Xenopus tropicalis: one gene and its partner. Each later gene encodes a partner of the first gene's protein in a complex. Links are inferred from orthologs where the notes say so. Each region holds a gene or a part of one and is shown in the gene's direction. Other genes may lie near its edges.

Region 1 (4,058 bases):
GTGAAAGAATCCATCCTTAAGCTGCGAAAACAGAAAAAACCCATCCGAGAAATTGTTACAATATTAGGAGTGGCAAAATCTACAGTTTGGTACATCCTGAGAAAGAACGCAACCATTGGTGAAAAAAAGACCTGGACAAAAAGACCTGGACGTCCACAGAAAACAACAGTGGTGGATGACCGTAGAATCATTTCCAGGGTGAAGAGAAACCCCTTCACAACATCCAACCAGGTGAACAACACTCTCCAGGGGGTAGGTGTATCGATATCCAAGTCTGCCATAAAGAGAAGACTGCATGAAAGTGAATACAGAGGGTGCACTGCAGGTGCATGCCTCTCCTAAGCCTCAAGAATAGAAAGGCTAGATTGGATTTTGCTAAAGAACATCTAAAAAAGCACAGTTCTGAAAAAACATTCTTTGGACAGATGAAACCAAGATCAAATTATACCAGAATGATGGCAATAAAAAAGTATGGAGAAGGCGTGGAACAGCTCATTATCCAAAGCATACCTCATCATATGTAAAACAAGGTGGAGGCAGTGTGATGGCTTGGGCGTGCACGTCTGTCGGTGGCACTGGGACACTAGTGTTTATTGATGATGTGAAACAGGACAGAAGCAGACAAATGAATTCTGAGGTGTTCAGAGACATTTTGGTGAAAAGGGTGAAATTGCCCTTTAAGCTGCCAGTCTCAGTTCCCCTAAGAGACAAATGTGTGAATTTGTATTCTCCTGAATCTCATGGAAGAAATGCTCACGTTTTGTTTACCAGTGCATTAAATAGTACTTTTGTTTGTTAAGGGGACCGCACTGTGCCATCCATGAAATGCTGGAAAACAAGAAATGTGAGTGTCCCAATATGTCCTGCCACCATGTCTAGACATGCTTTGGCCAAATGCTGTGATCATGGCCGTTTGTTTGGCTGAGGACCATGAGTAGGTTTGTGAATGGCACCAATGTGAATATGACTGAAAGCTCATCACCAGGTGAGGGGGGGGGGTTCTCCAGCCTCCACCCATAGGCCCCAGTTCAGTGAATTTGCCGCAGCCGACATCTACATCACTGCCCAACTGGCATTTGCTAGTTATGTGAGTAGGATCGCTAAGTTCCATTAAATTACTCTAGATGGCGCTGTGAAAAACGTCTGCGCTTTTCGACAGATACTTGTTTCTCTTGATTCCTTCCCGGAACTGCTCGTTAGCCCCGCCTCTCTTCCATCCGCAGACATGGCTGTTCCGGAGAAGAGCACGAAGGAAAGGCTGATGTCTTTCCTGGACGACTTGGAAGTGCTGTCTAGGTGAGGGCGTTATGCGACACGGGCATTTTATTTCTCGGGACTGCACCTAATACTTTGGAGCCAATATTGTTTCTTGCGTGGCTTTCCAGCAGCTGCAGAGCCAAATGCTTGGCACCTTACGAGCAATGAAGTTCGGAATTCCACTGTGCGGGATTCTTTGTTATAATAGCGCTGTGCGCTTACAGAGCGTTGCCCTATTATCTGGCCACCTAAAAGCCCTGTAAGTTGGGGTTTGTCCTTCCTGCTGTTCTTACTGCACAGTGGGCCAGAATAATATCTGTAAAGGGCCCCGGTTGATGTATAACGGTGGGTGGGGACAGGCCATCCCATGGGGAATAGCAGTGGCGCACAGTGATACATATGGATGTGGTTTGGCGCATGAATACTTGTCTGATCTTCCTTCAGGTTTCTTTTAGGGTGGCACCACCCCTGGTTTCCGACTGTTTTATTAGAGCCCCTTGCTCCTCAAGGTGCTGAGGAATTGCCTTCTTCAAACCCCCCTTTCCTTTAGTCAAATGGCAAAGTAAGACCTGTTGCTATTGCTTCAGCGTTATATCAGTCATTGTGGGAAACATGGGATACACTGTAATGCACCACAAGGAAAAATGACACTTTATAAAAAATACATTGACTCATGTTGCAATTCTGTCATTGTATGGTAAGCTACACAGCAGTTTGGTGTACACTAGCTCCACTGCGCTACTCTGTGTTTTTGGAAAAGCAGACAGGGCTGTATTAGAAGAGTTCATTGATGTGGTACAGGAAGGGGGAGTGTGGCTCTTCAGGGCAACTACATTTTATACTTGGCTATTGAACTCTTTTAAAGGAGAAGTAAAAGTATATTCACCGGGGGTGCCAAAATTGTAGGCACCCTGATGTTATTATAATGTATGTATGTATATCTTTATTTACATTAATACAAACGGGGTTATTAAGATAATAACAGAAATTCAAAGGATAACAATATATACAAATAAATACAAGATACAGTTGCAATAAGTTAAGAGCCAAAGACACAAAAGTATGGAGGTCCCTGCCCCGTAGAGCTTACTATCTATATAGGAGGGTATTTTTAACTATAAGTGCTGTAGGTTACAGTGGGTGACAATATAAGTGCTAGTTCCCAGATCAGGTGCTGGGTGAGTGCTCCAAGAGGTAGTCTTTAAATTTATCTTTGAAAAGACTGGGGGAGGATTCTCTCCCGAGGAAATCAGGGAGGGCATTCCAAATGTAAGGAGCAGCAAGGCAGAAAGGTTTAAGGCAGGAAACTGCAGTAGTAGTGGGGGGTGCAACAAAGCGGTTGCTCTGCGAGCAATGAAGGAGTCGGCCAGGAACGTAGGGAGACACAAGAGAAGAGATGTAGTAAGGAGCAGAGGAATTGAGGGTTAAGAGAAGGAGTTTGTAAGATATTCTTTGTTTAATAGGAAGCCACGATAAGGACTTTAGCAGGGGAAGGGCCTGAACTCTCCTGGATGAGAGGAGGAGAATTCTGGCAGCAGTATTTAAAGGAAAAAGAAAGTCAAAGTCACCAAAATGTTAGGCACTCCCAAGTGACTTTGACCACCTACCTTTTACCCCGGGCTGGTGCCCCTGTGAGGAGGGAACAGCACCAGCCCGGGGTAGCTGCCGGCGCTTCCTTCTTCCTGATTCGCTGCGCGCGCATGCGCAGTAGAGTGAAAAGCTGAACTTAAACATTAAAGTCGGCTTTTCACTCTACTGCGCATGCGCCCACCGCTGGCATTTCAGCAACGGAAGCAGGAAGAAGGAAGCGATCCGCTCCAGGTACCCCGGGCTGGTGCTGTTTTCTTCTAACAGGGGCACCAGCCCGGGGTACGAGGTAAGCAGTTAAAGTCACTTGGGGGTGCCTTACATTTTGGCACCCCCAAGTGATTTTGCCTTTCGTTTTCCTTTAATATAGACCAGACCCAACCTTTCTTACTCGTGAGCCACAGTCAAATGTAAAAAGACTTGGAGAGCAACACAATTAAAAAAAATAACTACCTGCTTTGGGGGCACTGAGAGCAACATCCAAGAGGTTGGTGAGCAACATGTTGCCCCTGAGCCACTGGTTGGGGATCACTGATATAGACTATAGGGGGAAAGATGGGAGTTAGGGAGGTGGTTAGTAGCAGGTTACAGTAGTCAAGTCGGGATAGGATGAGAGCATGCATGAGCAGCTTAGCTGTTGCAGTAGTAATTGCTTACCTGAGGCCTGGGGTTCTTCTGTAGGAGCTTATTTGTTGCCACCTTATTTTGCTTCATACTTCTCTTGAGCCCTGGTTTGGGTGCGCATACATGGCAGAGTGAAAAGCTCAGTGAAACAACAAAACAGCTTGTCACTGTACTGTGCATGTGCACTGGCCAGGGGCCAACAAGAAGGACGAAGAAATGGAAGATGATGATGTGGTGCTCCTACAGATATCAGACCTCAGGCCAGAACAGTTTTTCACACACAGGAGCACCAGCCCATGGTATCAGGCAAGTGATTATCATCACTGGGTGCTGCTTAACATTTGGCACCCCCAGTGATTTTTAACTTTCATTCTTCTTTAAGCTATCATTTGACACAGGAAACCACAATTTTGGAAGTCAAATATTTTGTCTGGCTGTTAGATCCTCTTATATTTGGGGTCTTTTTATGACTGGAAACTGGCAGGTTTACCCCTGGTTTCTTCCCCTATTTTGGACATGAAGTCATTTAGTTGGGTTATGTAAAAAATGTGCATAAACACTATCCAAACTTTCAGAAATATATATTTTTT
Region 2 (4,199 bases), about 64 Mb from region 1:
TAAATATGAAGAAATAATGACCTCTAATTTGTAAATAAGTTAATTCAGACTGTACTTAGTGAATGCTACAAGGTCTGTTTCTGTGGAGCACCGGTTCCAAACAATTCCCAGGGTAGGCCCAAGAGAACATGAAATATTTGTAATGCGAGTTAAGGGTCACAGTCTGAATACATTTAGTGCATGTTAGGCTATATTACACACTTTTTGTTCTAATTACAGCTAGTATAACTGAGCATACTGTACCTTGTCATGGCTAAATAGAACTAGAAAGCAGCACTGCCTGTATGGTACCTTTAATTTAAAAAGGGTCCTAAAAACATTTTTGATAAAATCAAATCTTAAAAATTAAGATGAAGGTGCAGTGTACAATCCATTTTTGCACACATGATTCCGGTCTTTTATAACATATACACTAAAGTATATATGCTATGTGGAGTATAATCATTAAAGGAGAATGCAAGTCAAAATTTAAAAAGCATACTGCCCAATAGTCCTCCTATTGTTTAGTAAAAATGCCACACTTTTGGCTCACCTAATCAAATATTTACTCAGTCACACTTACTTCACATATTCTAGAACAGGCAGCCATCTCTAAAAAGGTATTCTCCCTTCCTTTCCCTCCTTGCTTCATACTGCACATGTGTTTGCATGGAGATGCATCAGCATATAAAACAGCACATTAGATATCCTTCATTTTATCACAGAATGAAGTTAGCAAATTATTTATGTACAACTTTTCAAATATTCTTATATGTGTATGACTGTATCATATTATATACCTGGAATGTTCAATTTGAACCAGCTAATGAGCATTTGAGCATTTCTTTGGCCCCCAGTAGACTTTTTTTGCATGGCAAAATTTCAATATAATCTGGCCCTAAATGGATTACATTAATGGATTATTAAGACTGTCCCATACTCGTTTCTATGTATTTACAACTACAGCACTAGTTGTTGGTTATGACTCAGTCTAAAGACTCCCCACTGATTTTATATACCGGTTTAAAAACTTTTGTTTTGTATTCTGCCTTGGAAATGTTTCTTTACCCTTTTTTACCTAAAACAGTTGTCCTCTCTTTAGGGGTCACATTCCCCAGACTATATTCGGCCTCCAATTCCTCCTGCTGAATACGGGCCTGCTCCAGAATCCTTCGGGACAATTTCTCGTCCACGTATCCATCATCTTCGGCGTCGTCTGTAGGTTTCCCCTTGCGCTTATTACGGAACGAGGGTCTAATTTCTCCCTCCTGTTCGATCTGATCAGCTAAGGGGAGTAAGCGAGAAGCAGCTCCCCGAGAATTTTTGTGCTTTGGCATTTTCCTGACATACACGTGCATAGATCCACACACTGCGCATGCTCCTATTCCCCTGGCATCGTACGCCTCGATGTGGGACTTGCGTGAACCGCAAATAATGACAACAATTTTGAGCGCCGTGACGTCATAACACGTCGCTGTGTTTTGTACAATTAAGTACCAGCATGGGAGTGACTTGGTAAGTGTTTGTCATTTTTAATGTAGTAGTAGAAAAAGAAGAAACGTCATTTTGATGTTTGCAGATACGTGTTAACTTCTGGATTGTTTTTATCTTTTGTAAACTAAGTTTACGCTTACTTATTTGCATGACTGCTGCTTTGTTAATTATAGAAAAACGGAATCCTACGAATTCAACACTGCAGTGCAGTATCACACTAAGAATGCTATGGGTAATAGGGAGACAGTTAAAAGATATCCTTTTTTAAAAATCAACACTGTAAATATAACCTGTTGAAAATGTATTCTGCCTCTTATTTTCAGGATTTTTTTTTGCCTTTGTTAAGGAATAATAGAATTTTTTAATGATAATTTTGAACCCCCAATAGCGTTGCTGGTAAAAAAAAAAATGTGCTGGATGCCAATGTTATTAATAGGGTATAAAGTTATGAATATAGGAAGACTGATATACTATACCAAAATATATCTGTCTTATGTTTATCTTCCTTTCTTATAAATAACATTAACAATAGCCATGATTTCTTTTTTTGCCTAGGCAGCAACCATACTTCCTATTGCTGTATGATTGCCTTCAGCCTGCATCCTCCAAATGCCACCATTGTACATAACCCACAATGCATTGGAATGCTCCAGGAAAAGAAAATCACAGTAAATTGGATATAGATTTTCTCTTTTCCTGTTCACATTCTCATGGCAGTCCGCACAATTGGGAGGGAACATACACATACCAAATGCTGCAAAATACTTTACTTTTTTATTCAAAATCTGCAGAAGCAGAAACATTTTTTAATGCTTCACAAAAATATTAGGACACCTCCAAATTGCTGCTTTGAAAATCTTTTCTGGTGACGCTAAACCTTTGAGTGCCCATGATGCTGCCATACTGGATACATCTTACAATATACATGCCAGTGTTTGCTTAGCTGCACTGGTAATATGAAGAGAGATTTTGTTTTTCTTAACTTCTTTGCCCTCTTTAGAGTCATCTTAAAGGAACAGTAACACCAAAAATGTATATATTTTAAAGAAATTAAACTATAATGTACTGCTGCCCTGCACTGGTAAAAGTTGTGTGTTTGCTTCAGAAACATTACTAGAGTTTATATAAACCCTGCTGTGTAGACATGGGGGCAGCCATTCAAAAGAAGAAAAGGCACAGGTTATATAGCAGCTAACAGATAAACCCTGTAGAATACAATGGTGTCTTATCTGTTATCTGCTATGTAACCTGTGCCTTTTCTCCTTTTTTCCTGCTTGAATGGCTGCCCCCATGGCTACACAGCAGCGTATTTTTATAAACTATAGTAGTGTTCCTGAAGCAAACACCCCAGTTTTACCATTGCAGGGCAACAGTACATTATATTTCAATTACTTTAGAACACTTTCATTTCTTGGTGTTACTGTTCCTTTAAGACATCAAGGTTGTGCCAACAGATTTCTTTATCATTCTGCGGACAAGCAAATTTATCTTCCTAAAATATTAACAAATCTTCTGAAATATATAGTTCCTGGAGTTTGGACACTCTTCTGGCCAAGGTTATGGCCAACAAAAACACAATTTGTTAATTTTAAGGAATGTCCTGAATAGGTTGAAATGATTCTTTCATGAGACTTATGAGAACCAAAGGTAAATCCAATCGTCGAACACTTTTTCTGGATTGATATGATGTGAACCTTGAAGAAACTGAACTATCAGAGGATTTGTAGCCCATTTAGTTTCATTAGGTACTGATAATGGCGTTACTTGTCTCTCATCCACTCCACTTTGCAAAAATTCCAGAATGTGGTTAACCTCAGGACATAGGCAGATTATAGTCCTTACTTTCACACTACTTGAAAAACACTTCCCATACCTGATGGTAGCTTTTTCTTGTGGAAATTTTCCTGGAATATAGTTCTGATAACTTAGTATTTGGGCATTGTAGGAGGTTGCCATCAAATCCATTGCTCTTGGCCCGCATCTCTGATCGATCTCCTGAAAGATGCTGTGGTTCAAGAAATCTAAAAAACTTGTTTTTCCCTGGAGTAAAGACTGCTGTTATAGACCGGAAATTTACCTCTGCCCACAGGAACAATTTTCAAGATAAGAGAATTGCTCTTCGTGCCACCCTGTCCACATACTGGACTGCTGTGCTGTTGTTGCAGAGGATTATTTCTGCCTTGCCTTTCAGCTCTTTGAAAAATTATCTCCAATGGGAAAAATGCCTTGAGAGCTAACCAAAATGCTTCCATTTTCCTTTGACTGGACAACCAAGTCCTCTGGAATCAACTACATATTCCCTGTCTTCACAGAGTCGTGTGTGGACTGCCATAGGAATGCAAACGGGAAAGAAAAGAACTGTTTTGCATGTGGATTTTAGCATATACAAATGGTATTCATATGTTTTTAAGGAACAGATTACAGTGATAGGTATAGTAGGGGTTTTTGTGTTATGTGGGGCTCTTTAAAGGAAAACTATACCCCCAAACAATGTAGGTCTCTATTAAAATATATTGCTTAAACAAGCTAATATGTAAAAGCCTGCTTCATCTAAATAAACCATTTTCATAAAAATATACTTTTAAAGTAGTATTTGCTATTGGGTATTCCTAAATAGAAATTTGCCATTTTAAGAATTAAGGGCCGCCTCCTGGGATCATAGGATTCAAAGTGCACACAAACAAGCCACAGCACACATACGTGTTAGTTGACATTAGCCAATTAAA

The links.
Region 2: med4 (region 1) and med20 share a complex: the UniProt entries of both Homo sapiens proteins name them as parts of the mediator complex. The link is inferred for Xenopus tropicalis from reciprocal best matches to the Homo sapiens genes MED4 and MED20.

Annotation. Positions count from the first base shown.
Region 1 is NC_030678.2:134,878,341-134,882,398, reverse strand, and holds the start of med4 (mediator of RNA polymerase II transcription subunit 4), read left to right. Parts: upstream 1-1,224; 5' UTR 1,225-1,225; coding exon 1,226-1,296; intron 1,297-1,366; exon of another isoform or gene 1,367-1,400; coding exon of another isoform or gene 1,401-1,516; intron 1,517-4,058. UniProt on the Homo sapiens protein: Component of the Mediator complex, a coactivator involved in the regulated transcription of nearly all RNA polymerase II-dependent genes.
Region 2 is NC_030678.2:70,762,751-70,766,949, forward strand, and holds the start of med20 (mediator of RNA polymerase II transcription subunit 20), read left to right. Parts: upstream 1-1,384; 5' UTR 1,385-1,480; coding exon 1,481-1,494; intron 1,495-4,133; exon of another isoform or gene 4,134-4,199. Other genes in the region: bysl (bystin), read right to left, coding at 1,058-1,316. UniProt on the Homo sapiens protein: Component of the Mediator complex, a coactivator involved in the regulated transcription of nearly all RNA polymerase II-dependent genes.